5 linked regions of the Oryctolagus cuniculus genome follow. The protein of the gene in region 5 interacts with the protein of the main gene of each other region in a biochemical or structural test. Links are inferred from orthologs where the notes say so. Each region holds a gene or a part of one and is shown on either strand. Other genes may lie near its edges.

The links.
Region 1: the proteins of CDC42 (region 5) and BNIP2 form a complex in vitro, tested with the Homo sapiens proteins (2 studies listed by BioGRID, with this or other methods). The link is inferred for Oryctolagus cuniculus from reciprocal best matches to the Homo sapiens genes CDC42 and BNIP2.
Region 2: the proteins of CDC42 (region 5) and TRIP10 form a complex in vitro, tested with the Homo sapiens proteins (3 studies listed by BioGRID and IntAct). The link is inferred for Oryctolagus cuniculus from reciprocal best matches to the Homo sapiens genes CDC42 and TRIP10.
Region 3: the proteins of CDC42 (region 5) and NCF2 form a complex in vitro, tested with the Homo sapiens proteins (2 studies listed by BioGRID and IntAct). The link is inferred for Oryctolagus cuniculus from reciprocal best matches to the Homo sapiens genes CDC42 and NCF2.
Region 4: the proteins of CDC42 (region 5) and CDC42EP3 form a complex in vitro, tested with the Homo sapiens proteins (2 studies listed by BioGRID). The link is inferred for Oryctolagus cuniculus from reciprocal best matches to the Homo sapiens genes CDC42 and CDC42EP3.

The regions. Positions count from the first base shown.
Region 1 is NC_091443.1:82,563,320-82,567,558, forward strand, and holds the start of BNIP2 (BCL2/adenovirus E1B 19 kDa protein-interacting protein 2), read right to left. Parts: upstream 2,801-4,239; 5' UTR 2,573-2,800; intron 1-2,572.
Region 2 is NC_091447.1:60,901,275-60,905,349, reverse strand, and holds the start of TRIP10 (cdc42-interacting protein 4), read right to left. Parts: upstream 2,801-4,075; 5' UTR 2,786-2,800; coding exon 2,429-2,785; exon of another isoform or gene 2,266-2,428; intron 2,159-2,265; exon of another isoform or gene 1,596-2,158; intron 1,380-1,595; exon of another isoform or gene 1,279-1,379; coding exon of another isoform or gene 1,255-1,278; intron 182-1,254; coding exon 66-181; intron 1-65. Other genes in the region: protein GPR108, read left to right, coding at 2,909-3,028, 3,595-3,714. UniProt on the Homo sapiens protein: Required for translocation of GLUT4 to the plasma membrane in response to insulin signaling. Required to coordinate membrane tubulation with reorganization of the actin cytoskeleton during endocytosis.
Region 3 is NC_091444.1:1,499,472-1,503,588, forward strand, and holds the start of NCF2 (neutrophil cytosol factor 2), read right to left. Parts: upstream 2,801-4,117; 5' UTR 2,777-2,800; coding exon 2,603-2,776; intron 1,527-2,602; coding exon 1,444-1,526; intron 1-1,443. UniProt on the Homo sapiens protein: Subunit of the phagocyte NADPH oxidase complex that mediates the transfer of electrons from cytosolic NADPH to O2 to produce the superoxide anion (O2(-)).
Region 4 is NC_091433.1:165,017,009-165,021,292, forward strand, and holds the start of CDC42EP3 (cdc42 effector protein 3), read left to right. Parts: upstream 1-1,484; 5' UTR 1,485-1,507; intron 1,508-4,284.
Region 5 is NC_091438.1:148,692,289-148,695,788, reverse strand, and holds part of CDC42 (cell division control protein 42 homolog), read left to right. Parts: intron 1-2,166; coding exon 2,167-2,276; intron 2,277-2,399; coding exon 2,400-2,597; intron 2,598-3,500. UniProt on the Homo sapiens protein: Plasma membrane-associated small GTPase which cycles between an active GTP-bound and an inactive GDP-bound state. In active state binds to a variety of effector proteins to regulate cellular responses. Involved in epithelial cell polarization processes.

The sequences.
Region 1 (4,239 bases), on a different chromosome or scaffold from region 5:
AGATAGTGAGAGAGAGAGAGAGACAGAGAGAAAGGTCTACGGCCAGTGCGCTGCACTGATCTGAAGCCAGGAGCCAGGTGTTTCTTCCCAGTCTCCCACGTGGGTGCAGGGGTCCAAACATCTGGGTCATCTTCTGCTTTCCCAGGCCATAGCAGAGAGCTGGATTGGAAGAGGAGCATCCAGGACTAGAACCGGCGCCCATATGGGATGCCAGCGCCACAGGCAGAGGATTAACCTACTGTGTCACTGCGTGGCCCTATCATATAAGTTTTTAAGAATAAAATGAAAGGCTGGGGCTGTGGCACAGCAGGTAAAACTGCCGCCTGCAGTGCTGGCACACATATCGCTGCCAGTTCGAGACCTGGCTCCACTTCTGATCCAGCTCTCTGCTATGGCCTGGGAAAGCAGCAGAAGATGGCCCAAGTCCTTGAGTCCCTGCACCCTCATGGGAGACCCGGAAGAAGCTCCCGGCTCCTGGTTTTGGATCGGACCAGCTCTGGCCAGTGCGGCCATCTGGAGAGTGAACCAGTGGATGGAAGACCTGTCTCTCTCTCTCTGCCTTTGCCTAACTGTAACTCTGCCTTTCAAATAAGTAAATAAATCTTTAAAAAAAAATAAATGAGATCTCTATGAGAAATGTTAACTCAAAATATCAGTATGCAGGGGCCGCTGTTGTGGCATAGTGTGTTAAGCTACCACTGGCATCCCCTGAGTTCTAGCTTTTGATCCAGCTCCCTGCTAATGGGCCCAGGAAAGCACCAGAAGATGGCTCAAGTGTTTAGGCCTCTGCCACCCACATGGGAGACCTACATGGAGTTCCAGGCTCCTGGCCCAGCCCCAGCTGTTGCGGCCATCTGGGGAGTGAACAAGTGGATGCAAGATCTCTCTCCCCTCTCTGACTCTGCCATTCAAATAAATAAAGAAATCTTAACAAAAAGTGATCAGTATGCAGAACATACTAGAGACCGTTAAAAAGAGCTTAACAACTGTGTGATATTACTATCACCATATCATAGTATTTTTGCTTTATATGAAGTACTCTTAACAAGACACCTTTTGATCCAATGTCAGTCAAGGTTAATATACTGGATCTGGGTCTGTGTCTTTTTTTTTTTTTTTCTAGATAGCTCTTATCCTTATCGCTCAAGCATTAATCCAGTTAGAATGAACAGTGCCCTGTCCAAAACAGTGCTTTTCACCACTTACTGACACTTGTACAACCATCATCTCATCTGCTCCAGCCGACAACTTTTGTGAGGCGCCGACACTGGTATTATTATCCCTGTTCTGTCTTATGTGAGCAAATGACACCACATCCTGGATCCCGGAGCTCCTCCACTGGCAGCTTTATACACGGTAAGTCTCATGGCCGGATCTGGTACACTTAGTTTCAAAGGTTCCGTAATGCCTGCAAGTCACAAGAACCTTCCTTGCTTGATGACAACCTAGTTCAAGTTCATGTTTGCAGAAGATATGTCATACTTTCTAAGCCCAACTTCAGGCTGCAGGAGGAAAGATGATCAAGACCAGGAACGCAGTTTACAAAATAAGAGCTAAGGAGAAAACGTGCAAGATGACTCAGAAACTACTAGTCAGAACGTTAACTTCACTAGGTAACTTCCATTAAAATTCTGGCGAAATGTAGCCATTTACAAATTACAAAATTTCTTCTACAACTGCAGAAGCTCTCATAAAACATCAGAAAAAGGAGACATTTTACTGAAAGTAAAAAATCAAGCAGTACTTAAGTTAGACTCCCCCGTTTAAAAAAAAAAAAAAAAGGCAAGGATGGAAAAAGCACCACTATAATGCACTCACTTCACTCAACCAACTGGGAGGCACTGGGACTACCTTAATGAACACAGAAAAGCTGTCTGCGCAGAGCCCCCCCAGACAGACGAGGTCAGTTTCAAAGCAACGTATTAAAGATCGAAACACATTTCTGATTTAACACGGGTTGATCAAGTAGCTTAGCTCTCCAGGGGCAGCGGACGCACCCAGGACATCAAACCCTTTCTCGCCAGGTACTTAACAGGCCGTGTCTGTAAACACGGAGGGACGCAGCTTTTCACGCACACACCCGGTATTTGGCCGAGCTCGCCCGGGGCCGTCTATAAAGCCCTGTTTGCTGTTTCCGTGCCTAACCCCCGAAGGTACGCGGCACGCCACACAAGTCCAAGTTTCCTTTGTTCTGCAACAGGACAGACTCAGACCACCAGTACGGAACCAACGCGGCCCGTCACCGCGCCCAGACCCCGGGTGGAGGGAGGAGCAGACACGGGGGAAGGTTCCATCCCCGGCACAAGCAACAAAAACGGAAAAGCGACGGAGCTGGGGGTGCAAGGCTGGCAAACGCACACAAGGAGCCGAGCCAAGGGCGGGGACCTGAGCCGGGCGGGGAGCCGGAAGGCGCCTCCCAAGCAGGTTCGAGCGCACCCCGAACAACGGAAAACGCCCTGGGCCTCCGCTCCGCAGCAGCCGGCCTTGGGCAAGCGCCCCTTCAGACGTGCGCCCCCAGCCCAGTTCCCGGCGCCCGGACTCGCCGTGCTGAGCCCTCCCAGGCCGCACTCACCCCGGAGGAAGCCTTGGCCTCCTCGTCCTCTTCTACCCTCCAGGCCGGCGACGTGGTGCTGACTGCCAGGTCGCAGAAGACGGCGCCGAGAGGAGCCCGCTCCTCTCGGTCAGCGGTGCACAACCCAGCCTAGTCCCCGGCCGCAGCCCCAGCGGCAGCTGCAGCGGCAGCAGTTGACCCGGACGCAAAAAGCAGCCCGGGCGGAAGTGACAGCATCCTGACCCTTTCTAGGCTCTGCGGGAGGCGGGGGCGGGGCCGGGGCGTGGGGGGGCGCGGCCGGGGCGTGGGGGCGTGGCTTCCTAGTCAAACCCACAGCTTTGCTCCCTCCTCCGCTGTCCCGGGCTAATACCTGCGCGTGCGCACTTGCGGCAACTGGAGCAGCCCTTGGCTTTTGGGTCTCTACTCTCTTTTTTCCGCTTTTCCCTGCGGTGAGGACGCCTGCGAACTCAGGGTCATTGCTATTTTTCTTCTGCTTGTTTTTACTATCGCTACAGTGCCTGTGTTGTATAAAGTAAATGACCCGAGGGGAGGAAATATATGCGAAGCTTACTTTCAGGCATGTAGATCTCAAGGCAGTCTCATTTAGGGGCTGCTGTTGTGGTTCTGATCGCAGGTTCGAGTCCCAGCTGCTCCACTTCTGATCCAGCTCCCTGCTAATGCACCTGGGAAAGCAGTAGAAGATGGCCCAAGTGCTTGAGCCCCTGCACCCACTTGGGGGCCTGGATGAAGCTCCTGGCTCCAGCGGACTATTGCCAGCGGATGGAAGATGTTCTCTCTCTCCTTGTCTCTGTTAACTTTGACTTTCCAAATAAATAAACAAATAAGCGTTCGGCAAAACTTTCTCTGTAAAGATTTACTTCTTTAATTGAATGGTAGAGTTAGAAAGAGAGGGAGAAACATCGATCTTCCATCCCTGGTTCACTCTCCAAATGGCCCAAGTGCTGAGGCTGGGGCTGGGACTGGGGCTGGGCCAGACCCAAGGCCAGAGGCCAGGAACTCCATCCGGGTCTTCCACTTAGGTGCCCCAGGCCCAGGCACTACCACCATCCCCCATTGCTTGCCCAGGCACCTTAGCAGGAAGCTGGATGGGAAGTGGAGCAGCTGGGACCTGAACAGGCTTAACCTGTTTGGCCACCAAGTTGATCCCAAATCCTCTTTATTTTGAACAGCTTTAGAGCAGTGTTTCTCAAACTATCTCTGGAGTGCCATCAGTTTATTATCATTTTAAAAATTTCTGGCCGGTGCCGTGGCTCACTTGGCTAATCCTCCACCTGCGGCACCAGCACACCAGGTTCTAGTCCCAGTGGTGCACACCAAGTTCTAGTCCCAGTGGGGTGCTGGATTCTGTCCCGGTCGCTCCTCTTCCTGTCCAGCTCTCTGCTGTGGCCCGGGAAGGCAGTGGAGGATGGCCCAAGTGCTTGGACCCTGCACCTGCATGGGAGACCAGGAGAAGCACCTGGCTCCTGCCATTGGATCAGCGCGGTGCACCAGCCGCAGCAGCCATTGTGGGGTGAACCAATGGAAAAAAGGAAGACCTTTCCCTCTCTCTCTCTCTGTCACTCTGCCTGTCAAAAAAATTTTTTTTCCAATTGTGAATCATATTTTAATAAAATATAAATGAAATGAAAAAAGGTCTATGAACTCCAAATGAAAATATTTTTATTACA
Region 2 (4,075 bases), on a different chromosome or scaffold from region 5:
TGAGCCGCGGCCGCCCCCTACCCGGCCCGGCCGGGCCACGGGGTCTCCAGCCCTCCGGGTCTCACCGCAGCTGCTTGGCGTACGCCTGCTCCACCTCGGCGCGCTCCTTGACGAACTTTACGTATCGGTCCAGCAAGTCCAGCCCCCACTGCGTGTGGCGTTCCAGGACCTCGAACTGATCCTGGCGGGGGGGAGGGGACGGCAGGGCCCGGGTCGCGACCTAGGGACTTCGCGGCGCGCCCGGCTCCAGGGCCCCCGCGCTCGGCGGAGGAGGGGCTTCCAGGCACCGCCCCGGAGTGGCGCGGGGGCCGGCAGGAAACTGGCGGGAACCCCCTCCCCTTCCCGGGAAAGGGCCCCAGCCGGACGACGGGGTCTCCGTCTCCGAGCGGCCGAGAGGGGCGTGGAGCGGGGCGAGGCCACTCCCCTGCACAACCGTCCACCCCCCCGCCCCGCGCGCGCCCGGCTCCCCTAATCCCCCCCAGATTCCGGAAAATCCGGCCTGCCCGGCGTGAGTCAGGGCAGGGATCCCTGGCCGCTAGCTGGGGGCCCGCAGGGCCCGGGGGCAGGCCCCGAGCGCCCCCCGCCGCACCCCACGCGCGCCTCCATCTCCCCACGGGCTCCCGGAGAAGAGCCGACGGTGCGGGACCAGGGTGCGGGCGGAGACGCAGGCACTCGCCGCTCCCGGAGAGGGGAGGGGTCTTAGGTCCGGCCCGGACCTGGAGCGACCCTGGGGCTTCCCGGGCCCGGGGAGGGCAGGGTTGGAAGATCGCTGGGGCCCGGGCTCGCAGCCCCCTCCCCCTCCGAGGGCGCCCTCAGCCTCCCGGGCGCTCCTGGGAGGTGGGCGGCCCTGGCGGGGCCCACGTGGGACACGGGACGGCCAGCCGGACAGGCGGGCGGCGGGCAGGGACCCAGGGGCCGTAAGATAAGCCGCGGGCCGCGCCGGGACGCCCAAAATAGGTGACCTCGCCCGGCCGCCCCGGCCTGGCCTGGGGACTCCGGCCCGTCGCGCTCGCGGCCCCGTGCCTCAGTTTCCCCGGGCCGCCCTGCGAGGTGGGTTTTCGCCCCCCGCCGCGGGGGTTCCGTGACGCCCCCCAGAAACTCGTTGCGTCGGTGGCGCCCAGAGACCCTCGGCTCGGTGCGAGGGGAAGCGCGGAGGCCCCCCCGCAGCCCCCGCTGGGGTCCGCTGGGGACAAAAGGGGAGGGGGAGTCCGAACCCGAGCAGACGGAACTTGGAGAGGCGCCGATCGGACTCACCCACAACTCGGTGCCCCAATCCATGCTGCTCCCGCCGCCGCCGGCGCCGCCGCCCGCCACCCTCCGCCCCGAGACTCGGCCCGGGGCGGCGCGCCGACCCCGCCCCGCCCGCCCCGGACACGCCCACCCGGCTGGGACACGCCCCCGCTCGCTTTTCCCCGCCCCCTGCCCTGCGCGGAGACCGCGGGCGGGGCCCGGGGAGGCGGGGCCCAAAGGGCGCCACGCCCCCTCTTAAAAGGACCCCCGCCCATTTTCAAATCCCCGAGGGCCCCTCTCCACCCACCACGCCCCTCCCCCGCCCCAGACGGGCCTTTCCTTTCGATCGTTCCTTAAAGGACCCGGACAGGAAAAGCCCCAAGCCCGAGAAGTCGTCCCTGCACGGTGCTGCAGGCAGAACCCGAGGTCACCCCGGCCCGGCTCCAGGCGTGGACGTTCGTCCCACTAATGGTCAGGTCCCTCCGGCCGCAGGGCGGATGGAGGACTTCGATCCTGCCAGGTCCATTAGCGCCCCCACCGCATCCTGCCTTCCCTCCCCAGGGGAACCCGAGGACGGGCTGTCCTTGGGACGCGGGGCCCAGGCTTTTCCCTCCGGCCCGAGTCTGCCTGCACCTGCCCACTGTCCAGCTTCGCCCACCGAGGCCCCCGAGAGTCCCGGACGCCCGCGCCCTCCCCCCCCTAGAAGGGTCCGCATCTCGTAAGTCCCCTCGAGGCGCCAGGATAAAAGGGAGCGGCCCTGCGGGCCCCCGGCCCCCAGCTCCTGCCTTCTCTGGAGCTGCAGGGGTGGGGTCTGGGCCCCAGAGGGACCGGAGGGCGCAGGGACACCTGCCGGCGGCTGCACCCGGTGGGTTGGTTTCGCGGCTCCGTGTGAGACCGGGGCTCGGCTCTGGTGGGACACCCAGCCCAGGTCAGCACCACGGTTGGGGCGGGGGTCTCAGCCCCAAAGGCTGGGCGGGGCGGGGCGGGGCGGGGGAAGAGCCAAGGTTTTAGGCTGAACTCGGGGTCCGGCTGCAGCTAGGGGAAACCGTCGGGGATCCGGAGTGAGCCTCCAGTGTCCTCGTGCGGAGGCGGAGGCGGAGGTCATAGGTCACAGGTCATCCTCGGGTCGCGATGTAACCTCCGTGGACCAGGAAGATTAGGAGAACGGGACAGGCCTCAACAGACTGCGTGTGTTTACCAAGAGCCAGAGCTCTGGCCGGGAGCCACGTCCCACAGGGTGAGAAGCGGAAGTCCGACCTTGGGGCGTGCTGGGAAATGTAGTTTCTGGGTGCTCGGTGGCCCTCGTCTGTTCCTGGCTGCATTCTGGGTAGTGTAGTCTTAGACCGTTAAGAGTTAGGTGGAGGAATTCCGCTTCAAGAGCAGGATGCCAGCTGCGCTCTAATTGGTTAGGCGGACTGCTTATCATGCTATATCCGGGACGATCTTTCTGGTGATTGGTGAGCGTGGGGGCGGGGCTACGTGGTATCACGTCTTCCATTCGGAACTGGTGCTGTCCGTCTGGTGTCACGTAGGCGCGGGTTTGAGAAGAGGCCATCGATGATTGGTTCAACGGGCTGGAAAGTCCGGAGAGCCTGGCCCCACCGTGCGGCGATTGGCTCCCCCGGAGGCGGGCCTGGGGGCGTCAGAGGCGGTGTCAGGGGAGGCGGCAGCTCCAGAGATGGCAGGGAGCGAGAGGAGGGGGCTCGGCCGCGGGAGCCCCGCGGAGTGGGGGCAGGGGCTCCTGCTGCTGCTGCTGTGGGGCAGCTGCTCCGGGCGCATCCACCGGCTGGCGCTGACGGTGAGGCCCGCCGCGGGACGGTCGGGGGCGGGGGGCGCGAGGCTGTCCCAGAGAAGCCCCCGGCTTAAGTGGTCTCGTCCGACCTCCCCCGCACCTTCTGCGGGATGGAGCGGCCCGGCGCCCCCCACTGCCGGGCGAGTGGTCCCGTCCCGAGATCCCCCTCTCTCCCTGCGGATGGAGCTGCCTGGCCGGCCCCGCCGGGATGGTGGGGGGCGGGGGGCGCCATCTCCTGGGACCCCCCCCTCCCCCGGCTCTTAGCCCTTTAAATTCCTGTGGCCGCTTTGGAGACGCTGGGGAGCCCTGGCGCCGCTCGAGGACCGAGGGGGTGGGGGTCCCTGGACGCTGCCTGGGGTCCCGGGCTCGTTCCGCAGCGGGGGGCGTCCAGGCGCCCCCCGATTGTCCTCCTGGACGCTCAGGTCCGCGCTCAGGGCATCCAGGGCCACGCTGTCCTCGGTCCCCCGGCACGGCCTCTCCTGACTCGCTCCCGGGCTGTCTAAGCACTGGGGCCCAGAGCCCCGTGGCAGGCGGGAAGCGGAAGTCTGAGCTGCCTCCCTGGTCTCCGGCAGGGGGAGAAGCGAGCGGACATCCAGCTGAACAGCTTCGGCTTCTACACCAACGGCTCCCTGGAGGTGGAGCTGAGCCTCCTGCGGCTGGGCCTGGAGGAGACGGGAGAGAGGTCCCCGCTGGTGAGGAGCTTGCCCGAGGAGGAAGCAGGTGCCACGCTCCAGAGCACGCCTGGCATGCACACACGCCAACACAGCCCCCAAGGCACGCACACACGCCAACACGCACCAGCACAGCCCACCAAGCCACATACACACACCAGTATGCACACACACGCTAACACAGCCCCCAAGTCACGTACACATGCCAACACAGCCCCCAAGGCACATACACACACCAACACGCACATATACGCCAACACAGCCCCAAGTCACGTACATACGCCAATACACACACACACCAGCACAGCCCCCAAGACACGCACACACACCAACACGCACCAGCACAGCCCACCAAGCCACATGCACACACCAACATGCACAC
Region 3 (4,117 bases), on a different chromosome or scaffold from region 5:
GCACCAAAGATCAGCAATTAAGGCTTAGAATATCGTCATCCGGTTGTTGATGAGGTTGGGATTAACTTTAAGTCTGTGAATGCTTCTCTTTTTACTAATTATCTCTTTCTTTTCTTTCTCTCTCTCTTTCTTTCTTTCTTTCTTTCTTGCTTTCTTTCTTTCTTTCTTTCTTTCTTTCTTTCTTTCTTTCTTTCTTTCTTTCTTTCTTTCTTTCTTTCTTTCTTTCTTTTCTTCTCCTTCTCCTCCTTCTTCTTTTTTTGACAGGCAGAGTTAGACAGTGAGAGACAGAGAGAAAGGTCTTCCTTCCGTTGGTTCTGCTCCCTAAATGGCTGCTACGGCTAAAGCTGCGCCGATCCGAAGCCAGGAGCCAGGTGTTTCCTCCTGGTCTCCCATAGGGTGCAGGGCCCAAGCACTTGGGCCATCCTCCACTGCACTCCCTGGCCACAGCAGAGAGCTGGACTGGAACAGGGGCCACCGGGACAGAATCCGGCGCCCCAACCGGGACTAGAACCTGGTGTGCCGGCGCCGCAGGCAGAGGATTAGCCAAGTGAGCCACGGCGCCAGCTTTTTACTAATTATTTCATGTGAACACTGTAAACACATCAAAAATGCAGGTAGGGGCCGGTGCTGCGGTGTAGCAGGTAAAGCCGCCGCCTGCAGTGCCTTCCTCCCACATGGGTGCCGGTTCTAGTCCCGGCTGCACCACTTCCGATCCAGCTCTCTGCTGTGGCCTGGGAAAACAGAAGATGGCCAAAGTTCCCCCGTGGGAGACCTGGAGGAAGCTCCTGGCTCCTGGCTGTCACGGCCATTTGGGGAGTGAACCAGCAGATGGAAGACTCTCTCTCTCTTTCTCCTCTCTCTCTCTCTCTGTATTTCTGGCTTTCAAATAAATACATAGAATATTTTTTAAAAAATCATTTACTCGTGTGGCAGAGAGGCGGAGTGACAGAGAGCTCGTATCTGCCAAGGTACTTCCTGCAGGTTAGGCTGGGCCAGGGCTGACGCCAGAGCTGGGAGTCCAGCCCAGGGCGCCCATGTGGATGGCAGGGACGCGATGCCAGTTCCTTGAGCCGCCACTTCTGCCCCGCAGCTTGCAGGCAGGCCGGAGCTGAGCTGCGCACTGAACCCGGATGCGGGCGTCGTGAGCACTGCCGGCCGCGGTCCAGCACATCTACCTGATGTGTTGCTCTATTCTCTCGTTTGCGGCTGGATTTTACTTCACCAGACGGACGTAACCAGGGATGAAGCCAGGCCGATGCGGTTTCACGGCACGCCTCGTCCCGCAGCGCACGGTGGGTGCCGTGCTGGCTGACCGTCAGGTCCCTGTGGCCGCCAGGCCACTGCGAGTGGCGGCTGCCTTGTGCCCCGGCGCAGCTCAGGCCTGCCCTCCCGCTGCCTCCCGCGCTGAGCTGTTGCACAGTTCCCAGTGCCCGGGGCCCTCACCTCTCCGTGCGGTGGTGCAGCATCCCCCGCTGGAAGTAGGCCACGGCCAGGTGCCTGTCCTTGCTGATGCTCTTGGTAAAGGCCTGCGGAGAGGGTGGAGGAGGTCGGAGGCCGCGGGCAGCGTTGGGCAGGGCACGGGTCAGCGCGCCTGTCACTTCCTCGTGGCGTGGCATGGGGCAAGTTCCCTACTCTCTAGCTGAGCCCTAGTTTTCTCCTCTGCATGAGGGGCGTGTTGCCTTTCAAGTTCACTGGATCAGGATACAATGGTTCATTATGAAAATTAAAGTAATAAATAAGAATTTACCCGGAAGGCTGGCAGCATGGGGCTTAGGCAGCCGAGGCAGGGAACAATCCAGACACAGAACGCGCGGGGACGCCCGGCACCCACACCCTCCAGGGCCTGCCCCGGCCGCGCCCTCCGCCGGGGTCTTGCCCGCTGACCCTCGGCTCTGCCTGCGGTGGGTGTGGCCCTGGCTGCGCTCAGGGCCTTGCGAGGATCCGCAGCAGCAGGCAAAGGTGACAGCTGACTTCCGAGACGGGGCGGCGCCTTCCTGCTCCGTGTCTCACGCAATCGCTGCGGTGTTTATGCCCTTGGAGACCCAAGGTGCAGGGAGGAGCGGCGCCGCCGTTTGCCTGGAGCGCTCCTGCTGCCGGACCCGGGGGCGTCTCCCTGGCCCTGACCCCACTGGCCCCCACTGGGGTACGCGAGAGGCAAAAGTACTTTAGAAGGTGCTCAGACCCCATCCCCAGCCCTGCCCTTGGCTGACGCCCTGTCAGTCACGGTTAGCTAGGCGCGCACTGGAGATGCAGCCAGCTCTTGGTGAGCCAGAGGGCCGGGCTGCCCTGGGGGCACCTCGTGGCCGGGACGGGGACAGAGACGGAGACGGAGCGAACCAGTGCCCCGTGGGTCAGGGCCATCACGGCTGAGAAGAGGGGGAAGAGGGACAGCCTGGCCCTGGTCACGGCTCCCGGCCTGGGCTGCCCACGCCCCTCCCGAGCAGCTGGGGAATTTTGGGAGCTGTGGCGCAGGCCCTGCCCAGGCCAGCTGGGCGGGGGCTCTGGGCTAATGCGGAAGCTCCCTGGAGATTTGGGTTCCGTGGCCACCAGCCCGAGGGCAGAGGCTGCGGACACTGAGGAGGTGGGAAGAGCCCTCACTCACCTTCTCTGCCTCAGGCAGGTCTCCCAGGATGGCGTGCACGCAGCCCACGTTGAAGCAGATCCGGGCGTGCGGGTCCTGGACTGCGCAGAGGGCGGCCAGGGCCCCCCTCCAGTCCTCCCGGTCAGCCGCCAGCACCCCCTCATTCCAGAGGCTGATGGCCTCCGCCAGGGACATGGTCAGGTGCAAGCAGGTGTCGGGAGCGGCCAGGGACGGGCGGTGGGGGCAGGACGGGCCCGGCTCCCCTTAAGAAGGCTCTGGTGTTGCAAAGGCAGCGGAAGTGGCCCCACCTTTCAGCCAACTGTGAGAGAGAAGGAACGAGAGGGCGGCGGGGGCGGGCGGGGGGCGGGCAGGGGAAGTACAGCAGGTGCCGTTGTCATGGGTCAGTTCCCCAAAACGCTCCGCTGAGTCTCCGCCTCCTCCTCTGGCTGCAGCCTCTGTGGGGCCCAGGGCAGCCGTGCCAGGGGTGGCTTCCCCAGCTCCATTGCATCCTGGGCTTGGGAGGCTGCGGGGCGGGCGCCTGGCTCCTCCCGGCCTCTCCCGGTCCCCGGCTCTCCTGCTCCTGACCCTGCGACGGCCGTGTCCTGTTGGTTTCATCTTGAGCCACACCAGCGACAGACACATCTCCCGGGGTCCATCTGCACCCGAGGTCACTCGGATGAGCACTCAGGAAGTCCGGGGCGGGAGCGACTGCCCACAAGCGCCTCCGCGTGGGATCCAGGTCGGCCACGAACGGCAATTTCTCCCATTTGTGAGCTGACGGGCTGCGGGCTGCACGGAGGCTGAGACTCCTTGCCTTGCTGAGGGACCACGGGGTCCTGGGGACAGCCAGCGTGACCTAGAGAGCCCCCCGCGGGGTCCTGGGGACAGCCGGCGTGACCTAGAGAGCCCCCCGCGGGGTCCTGGGGACAGCCGGCGTGACCTAGAGAGCCCCCCTGCTCGCTGTTAGGGCTCAGCCCCTGCTTCCTACCGGAAGGAACACACACATTCACACTGCAATTCTCCCAAGAGCCTAAGAAACCGGGGCGTGCGCTCCGCAGGCCGTGCCGGGCGGCGGGTGAGGGAGGGCCGGGGACATGCGTGTGAGCATCCGCACACCTTGCAGGGTCCAGCTGCCCACAGGCCTCGGCCCTGACCCCGCCTCCTCTGCACCTGACCGTGTCTCCTGGGCCTTCGTGTGTCCATCGTGGCCCTCAGCCCCGGTCCACCCACCCCTCCACGCCCTCCGTCAGCGAGGCTGCCCGCCTGACTGCATCTCCTGGGCCGCCCAGCCCCGCCCTGCCTGCCCGCAGTGGGCGCCTTGTCCATGGTCCTCACGGCTCGAGCAGTGAGGTTCTCATCACGCCCGATCCCGGCCCTTCAGGGCCTCCGTGTGGTTCTGAGGACGCCACAGCCGCCGCCCGGCTCGCTCAGCCAGGCTCTCTCCCCTGGCCCTGCCGGGCTGCTCCTACCCATCTCCCACCCCCTCGGGGGGCCCTGCCTGGAGCCAGCACCTCACCGTGCCCTGGGTGAGCCCCG
Region 4 (4,284 bases), on a different chromosome or scaffold from region 5:
CCAAATGCTCCTATTTTTATTCCACCTCCATGCGGTTAATATCCGGCTGATTCGTTCATCCCAAATTCTGCATCTGATACTCGTCAGGTATCCTCAGTGTCTGGCTATGCCCATTCCCTCTCATGTGGTTGCTGGAAATGTCAGAGCATTATCTCCATGCCTGGCTTCCAAAGCAGGTGCCCACCCCGCCTCTTTGTCCAGCGTTCTCTGTGACAAGGGTGGAGTGGAGACCATGCCATGTGTGGCGCAGCAGAAAGGTTGGGGACTTGGTTTTCAGGGGCAAAGCTTCAGGGAGCAGCGGGTGCTGTCTGCACGGTTTTGGAAGGGATGGCCTGTGCAGAGAGATTCAACTTCCTTTCTGTGGGCCCAGAGGGGTGGAACTAGGACCAGAGGAATAGGTGGGCTCATATGAGATGGATTTCCTCATTTCAAAGTGGCCAGGAAAAAAAGAGAACTTTTCTTCACCAAAGTGGTGGATTTACAATGTTCACTACTAATTTTTGGAGACAGGAAAGTGAATTAATAAAGGTACTCCATAGTTGGATCCAAAGAGCACAGAGAGCCCTTTTTAAGTGTTTGGTACTATATACCAGCACTCAGCACTCGGCACAATGCCTGGTATATATGAGAAGTACCTAGTGATTATTTGCTCAATGAGTGTACAGTTAATTGGATTAAAAATAAACTGACAGGGGCCAGCACTGTGGTGCAGCAGGTTAATGCCCTGGCCTGAAATGCCAACATCCCATATGGACACCGGTTCTAGTCCCGGCTGCAGAACCAGGATGCCAGCCAGCTCCGTCTGACCCAGGGCCTGTGCTCCTGCCACAACATCACTGACAAGGGAGTGCAACATGTGGCAGTCCCTGCTTAGCCAGTTTCACTTTCTGTGGTTTCAGTTACCTGCTGTTGATCAAGGCATGAAAATATGCAATGGAAACCCCCAGAAAGAAAGAATTCCAAAGTTGAAATTGCACACTGCTCTGGGCAGCATGATCAATTCTCCTGCCTTGCTGTTTTGCTCTACCTGGGGGTGTGAATCATCCTGTCAGGCAATGTAGTCACCATGTATATGCTACCTGCCCCTTAGTCATCTAGTAGCCACCTTGATAAATATCAAATTTATTACTGCAATATCATAGGACTTATGTTCAAATAACCTGTAATTTACTTAATAATGACTCCAAGAGTAGTGATGCTGGCAGCTTTATTACAGCATATTGTTATTATTTCTCTATGTTTTATTAGGTATTGTCATTTATTGTCCCTAATTTATAAATTAAGATGCACCATGTGTTTGTGTAGGAAAAAACCTAGTCTACATAGGGTTCAGTACTATCTGTGTTTCAGTTGGGTCTTGGAATGTACTCAGCTTGCATAAGGGATGTCAGCTGTGTTTTTCTTTTTCAAGGTTATTTGCACTTATTGCTTCTTCGGCAAAGATGCAAAGATTCCAATCCAGCCTTGACCTGAAGCAAATTTTACACCCTGAAACTGTCAGCCACAGGTAAGAAAACTGAAGGAGCCAGGGGAGAGGTGCCTTCAGAGCAGGAGCACTGTGGGCCTGGTTTCTAAGCAGCTCTGTTGGAGATCTGAACCCATTTCCACCCACATCAGAAGGTGGGTTTGCATCATTTGGATAGCTTTGTGTGTCTGTGATGCAAGTCCAAAATTACTGCAAATGCTACTTTACAAATTAATAGTAATTCCCCTGTGGTTGAAAGATGGGCTGTCGTCCAGACCCATGGCTCAGAGGGCCACTTACTAGCAGTGTGGTTGTGGCCAGCAGCACAGGTGCCGCATGGGCAGTGGAATCCGGGTCCCAGCTGCCTTGAAGAGTTGTCGTAGAACCCAGTGAAGAGCAGCACAGGGAGATGCTTATCTGTAAAGCCTGGTTGTATGAGTAAAGTTAGTCGTCATGATTTGTTCAATACTTTTCTATGAGAATTAAAACACCTTTGGCTTGAAATTAGAAAAAAATCATAAGTTGAATAGACTGGATAATCTTGCATTCTTCTTTAAAAAGACTTTATATGCAATATTATATGTTAGCATTACATATAATGTTCATGTGAAAATGGGAATTTCACACTGTGTCTCAGTACTTCTACCTGAGCTTGAAGTCAGCATCCAGAAGTAAGAATTGGCTCCTTCATCCATTGGTTCTAACTAGATTGTGCATCTTAAAATGGTCAACCCCTTGTTCTAGCAACTAGAAAAAGAATATCTACAGCAGCTTCCACTTATTCTTGGGTCGTCGATGCTGTGTGGGATCTTTATGTTTTGCTTATGAATGTGGCTCCAGAATTACACCAAGTTCAACCCAATTAGAGCTCCCACCACCCAGAAGGCAAGGAGGAGAGAGGAATAGAGAAACGTGTTGAGGCCAATCCTATATTCTCCTTCGTCCCAATAAGCAATACAGTACCTAAGTGCAAGTTTCCCTGAGGTTAGTTGGAACAAGTTTCAGTGAGATTAGTTGGAACCTGTGGAGCTGGGGGTGGGGGAGGGGTGCAAATCTTTGAAGACTGGGCAGAATGGGGCAGAGTGGGGCACCTCATTGGAATATTTGGAGAGTGGGAGAGGTGGCCTTGGTGGCCTGGGAGCACCACTGGGGTCACTGGGGCTCAGCAAAGCACTGACGGGGAAGTGACAGCTTTTGGCTTCATAATCATTTCACAGAGACATGGGCTGAGAAGCTAAGCTGGTTAACTCCTGTTTCATAATTATCTGGCAGTGGTTTGAGAACCAATAAACTCAAATAGTTCCACCTGCTCATAAAGCAAACAGTACAGCTGGTCAACATCAACTGCCTAAGATCTTTAGACTACATAATTAATTTAAAGATATTCAATGGGCCAGCACTGTGGCATAGAAGGTTAAGCCTCCGCCTTCAGTGCCAGCATCCAGTATGGGTGCCTGTTTGAGACCTGGCTGCTCCACTTCCAATTCAGCCCCCTGCTAATGTGCCTGGGATAGCAGTGGAGGATGGCCCAAGTCCTGGGGCTCCTGCACCCACATGGGAGACCCGGAAGCTACTCCTGGCTCCTAGTTTTATCTTAGGCCAACCCCAGCTGTTGCAGTCATTGGGGAGTAAACCAGTGCATGGAAGACCTCTCCCTCTCCCCTCTCCCCTCTCCCCTCCCCCTCCTCTTCCCTCCCCCTCCTCTTCCCTCCCCCTCCTCTCCTCTCCCCTCCCCCTCCTCTCCCTTCTCCCCTCCCCTCTCCCCTCTCCCTTCTCCCCTCCTCTCCCCTCTCCTCTCCCCTCCTCTCCCCTCTCCCCTTCCCCTCCCCCTACTCTCCCTTCTCCCCTCCTCTCCCCTCTCCCCTCCTCTCCCTTCTCCCCTCCTCTCACCTCTCCCCTCCTCTCACCTGTCCCCTCCTCTCCCTTCTCCCCTCTCCCCTCCTCTCCCCTCTCCCCTCTTCTCCCCTCTCCCCTCCTCTCACCTCTCCCCTCCTCTCCCTTCTCCCCTCTTCCCTCCTCTCACCTCTCCCCTCCTCTCCCTTCTCCCCTCTCCCCTCCTCTCCCTTCTTCCCTCTCCCCTCCTCTCCCTTCTCCCCTCCTCTCCCCTCTCCCCTCTCCCTCTCTCTCTCCCCTTCTATCTGTATTTCTGTCTTTCAAATAAATAAATAAATATTTTTAATAAAGATACTGAAACCAGCATAAAAAATTAAATATAATAAGCTCTGGCCACTAAGTCTCAAGATATGTCCATTTGCTCTGTTGTCATAGAGCTACCATTTATATTGAATTTCTACTTCTTTAATATGAAGGGTACATTGTAGGCACTCAGAAATGCCCAGACAGCATCTTTTACTTTGAAATTCTAACTTATTTTTGGCCATAATATTTTGTTTTCTCATTATGCATGAAAACGGTGACTAGCTTTGGGATTATTTAAGGTTGCTGTTTTGGGGACCCCTTTGACACTCAGCACTAGTCACATCCTTGGTGAAATGTTGACTGAATGACTTAGCAATGTCAATGACCCTGTCATGAATACCTTGTTTGTCTGTTGGTCTATGACGTAATGGAGGTTTAAGGAGAGTCTCTGATTGGGAGTCCCACTTCCTGTTTCTGGGTCTTGACAGCCAAGAAATGCCCCGGAGGTAAAGCAGGACAATGGACGCAGAAAGGGCTGACACCAAGGTGCAGAAATCTTGTCTTCTCTCCAACTAGGAGCATCCGCAGAGCTGAGCAAGGCGATCAGAAGCCCCGCAGCCCACCTCGCAGAGGCTGGCACTTCAGGGGCCAGAAGCAGGAGGACTTTGTGTCTGAGGGCT
Region 5 (3,500 bases):
TATTAATCCCTTATCAGAGAGATGATAAGCAAGTCTGTAAAAACATTCTGTAGACTACCTTTTTACTACATTGATACTCTGGAACATACATTTTTAAATTTTTGTGAAGTCTTAAGTTGTCTGTTTTATCTTTGGTTACCTGTGTTACACTGGAAACAAATCATTGCTAAATCCAGTAACATGAACTTTTCCCTTATGTTTTCTGATAGTTTTTTTAGTTTTAGTTCTTACATTTAGGTATTTGATCCTTTTTTAAAAAAAGATTTATTTACTTATTTGAGAGGCAGTATTGGAGAGAGAGAGAGAGAGAGATCGGTCTTCCATTCGCTGGTTCACTCCCCAGATGGCTGCAACGGCCGGAGCTGCGCCCATCCGAAGCCAGGAGCTTCTTCCAGGTCTCCCACGTGGATGCAGGGGCCCAAGGATTTGGGCCATCTTCCACTGCTTTCCCAGGCCATAGCAGAGAGCTGGATCAGAAGTGGAGCAACTGAGACTTGAACTGGTGCCCATTTGGGATGCCAGCACTGCAGGTGATGGCTTAACCTGCTGAGCCACAGCGCTGGCCCCTTGATCCATTTTTGAGTTAATTTTTATGTATAGTGTTAGGTAAGGGTTCAACTTTTTTTTTTTTTTTTTTTGCATTTGGCTATTCAGCTTTCCCAGCACTATTTTTTGAAAAGATTGTCCTTTCATCACTGAATGGTCTTTGCTCCTTTGTCACATGTAATGTGGTGGTATATGTGAGGATTTGTTCATAGGTTCCATGCTCTACTTTGGTCTGTATGACCATCAAGTCCAAAAAGTTTCATGGGCTTCAAATATTGTGTGGAAAATTATGTGTTATGAAGAAATATGTGAGTTAAAATTTTTAGAGCATAATAAACTTTAGTTTCATTTTTTTCACAAACTTTTTGAAGTAGACCCTTGTATGTCTACCTTATGCCAGCACCACACTGTTTTGACTGCTGTAGCCTTATATAGTAGGTTTTGAAATCAGGAAGTGTGGGTCCCTCTGTTTTTTTTTTTAAAGATTGTTTTAACTGGCACAATGTTGTGGCATAGTGGGTTAAGCTACTTCTTGGTATACATATATACATATACATATATATGCATATATACATATATCTGAGTGCTGGTTTGAGTCTTGGCTGTTCCACTTCCAATCCATCTCCCTGCTAAACTACCTGGAAAGCATCAGATGATGGCTGAAGTGCTTGAGCCATGTAGGAAACCTGGATGGAGTTGCTGGATTTAGCCTGGCCAGCCCTGGCTGTTGTGGGCATCAGGGGAGTGAACCAGAGGATAGAAGATCTCTCTGTGTCCCTCTCTGTACTCTGTTTTTCAAATAAATTAAAACATCTGTATTTAAAAAAGATTGTTTTTACTACTTCGGAGTCCTTGAGATTCCATGTGAATTCTAGAATGAGTTTTTTGTTTCTGCAAAAAAAAAAAAAAAGGGATTTTGATAGGGTTTGGATTAAATCTGTAAGGTGCTTTAAGTGGTTAACAATGTTAAGCCTTCTAGTCCATGAACATTTCCCCTTTTTTTATGTCATTAGTTTCTTTTAGCAATGTTTTATAATTTTCTTTGTATTTCAGATGTTATACCCCCTTGGTTAATTCCTATGTATTTTATTTCTTTTGAGTATCCATTGATTTTTGCCATAGATTTTTTTTTTCCTCCTGGGCTCTGCTTCGGATATTGGTCTGAAATGCACGCAGAAACTAAACATGTAGCCTGCTTTGGTGGTCATGATGTACAATAACTTTGATAGCAGTTCCCTTTAGATGGCTACACTGTGATTGTTTCTTAGCTGGATCTGACTAGGATGGATTTTTAACTGTTTCTGTAGCAGTTTATTGTTGTGAACTATTGTTAGGTCACTAACGGGCACAAAAATTGAAAACTGCAAACTGGTAATGAAAGCAAATAATTTAATAGGAAGTTGGTTGCTGTCTGAGTTCTTGATAATAAAAGGAATTAGCCAAGTGAGAATATTGCCCAAATATTATATTACACAGCCAAATGTTTCATCAGATAAGTTGCTTTCTGGCTAATTATCTGAATGCTATTAAGTTGCATACTTGATCAGTTGACTGATTTGTGGTTTTAATACTGTGAGAACACCAAGAGTTAGTTGCTGACTTCTCCAACTTTTTTTCTAGGGCAAGAGGATTATGATAGATTACGGCCGCTGAGTTATCCACAAACAGATGTATTTTTAGTGTGTTTTTCAGTGGTTTCTCCATCCTCATTTGAAAATGTGAAAGAAAAGGTAAGTTGATCAGATACCATTCACTGAGAAAGGCTATCACAGAATTGCTATTGACCTGTTGCAGATAGCTTTAGAGACTTGTGGATTAATGAAGGTGTATTTTTCAAAATACATTTTCTTTAGTGGGTGCCTGAGATAACTCACCATTGTCCAAAGACTCCTTTCTTGCTTGTCGGGACCCAAATTGATCTCAGAGATGACCCCTCTACTATTGAGAAACTTGCCAAGAACAAACAGAAGCCTATCACTCCAGAGACGGCTGAAAAGCTGGCCCGTGATCTGAAGGCTGTCAAGTATGTGGAGTGTTCTGCGCTCACACAGGTAAGGACTGTGTGAAACTCCATGTGTGTTTATGGTTGAGTTATTTCTTAGAGCATTAAGATACAGGGATGCTTTCTAATGGGTTATTTTTAATGTGGTCAGCAGTGATCAAAACTACCCAGAAAGAATATGACCAACTTTGTGTTGTATGTTCTTCTGCCAGAACTGTCTGTATTTATGGAAAACATTATTGATCTCTAAAACTCTTGTGTGAAGCGTTCCCAGGGTTGTGTTCAAAGCAAAACACAAGATTTATAAGAGAGGTTCAGATAAGCACAATCCAGCAAGAGGGGATATGAATGATTTTTTTTCCCTAAAGACCTAAAATTTTATTTAAATATGTCTGATTTTTTTTCTTGCCAGTCTGACACTTGATGCTATGCTGTTTCTGGGGTAGTTAATTGGAACAAGGAATGAATGACAATAACTGAGTTTCATGTCAAAGAAGGCTGCCTTGGCTGTTTCTGCCACAGTCTTCAGGCCTGCTTTATAGAATGTCTGTTCCTGTGTTTTTGGAGGTCTTCCTTCCTCATGTGGATTCTCTGTCCTCCTGTTCATTTCCAAATGATGCAATTGATGGGAAACTCCGATTCTGAGGGTAGGGAGCAGTGCTAGACTAATTGGAGTGAGAATTATACGGACTTAGCCTGGTGTCATCATCTTCACCTTTATGGTAGTGCTGCTTCCCTCCTTTGAGCACCCTTCTGGGGCAAAGGGAAGAATTAGCATAGAGTGCTTACTTCTCACTAGTTCTGGTGCTTTGAAGTTTGAACAATAAGCATTCATGCCTAATTAAAATAAGATAGGGTTGATTGGTATGTGTGTATATGTGTTTTTGTTTTTAAAAATTTATTTATTTGAAAGGCCGAATTAGAGAGACAGACAGACAGATCTTCATCTGCT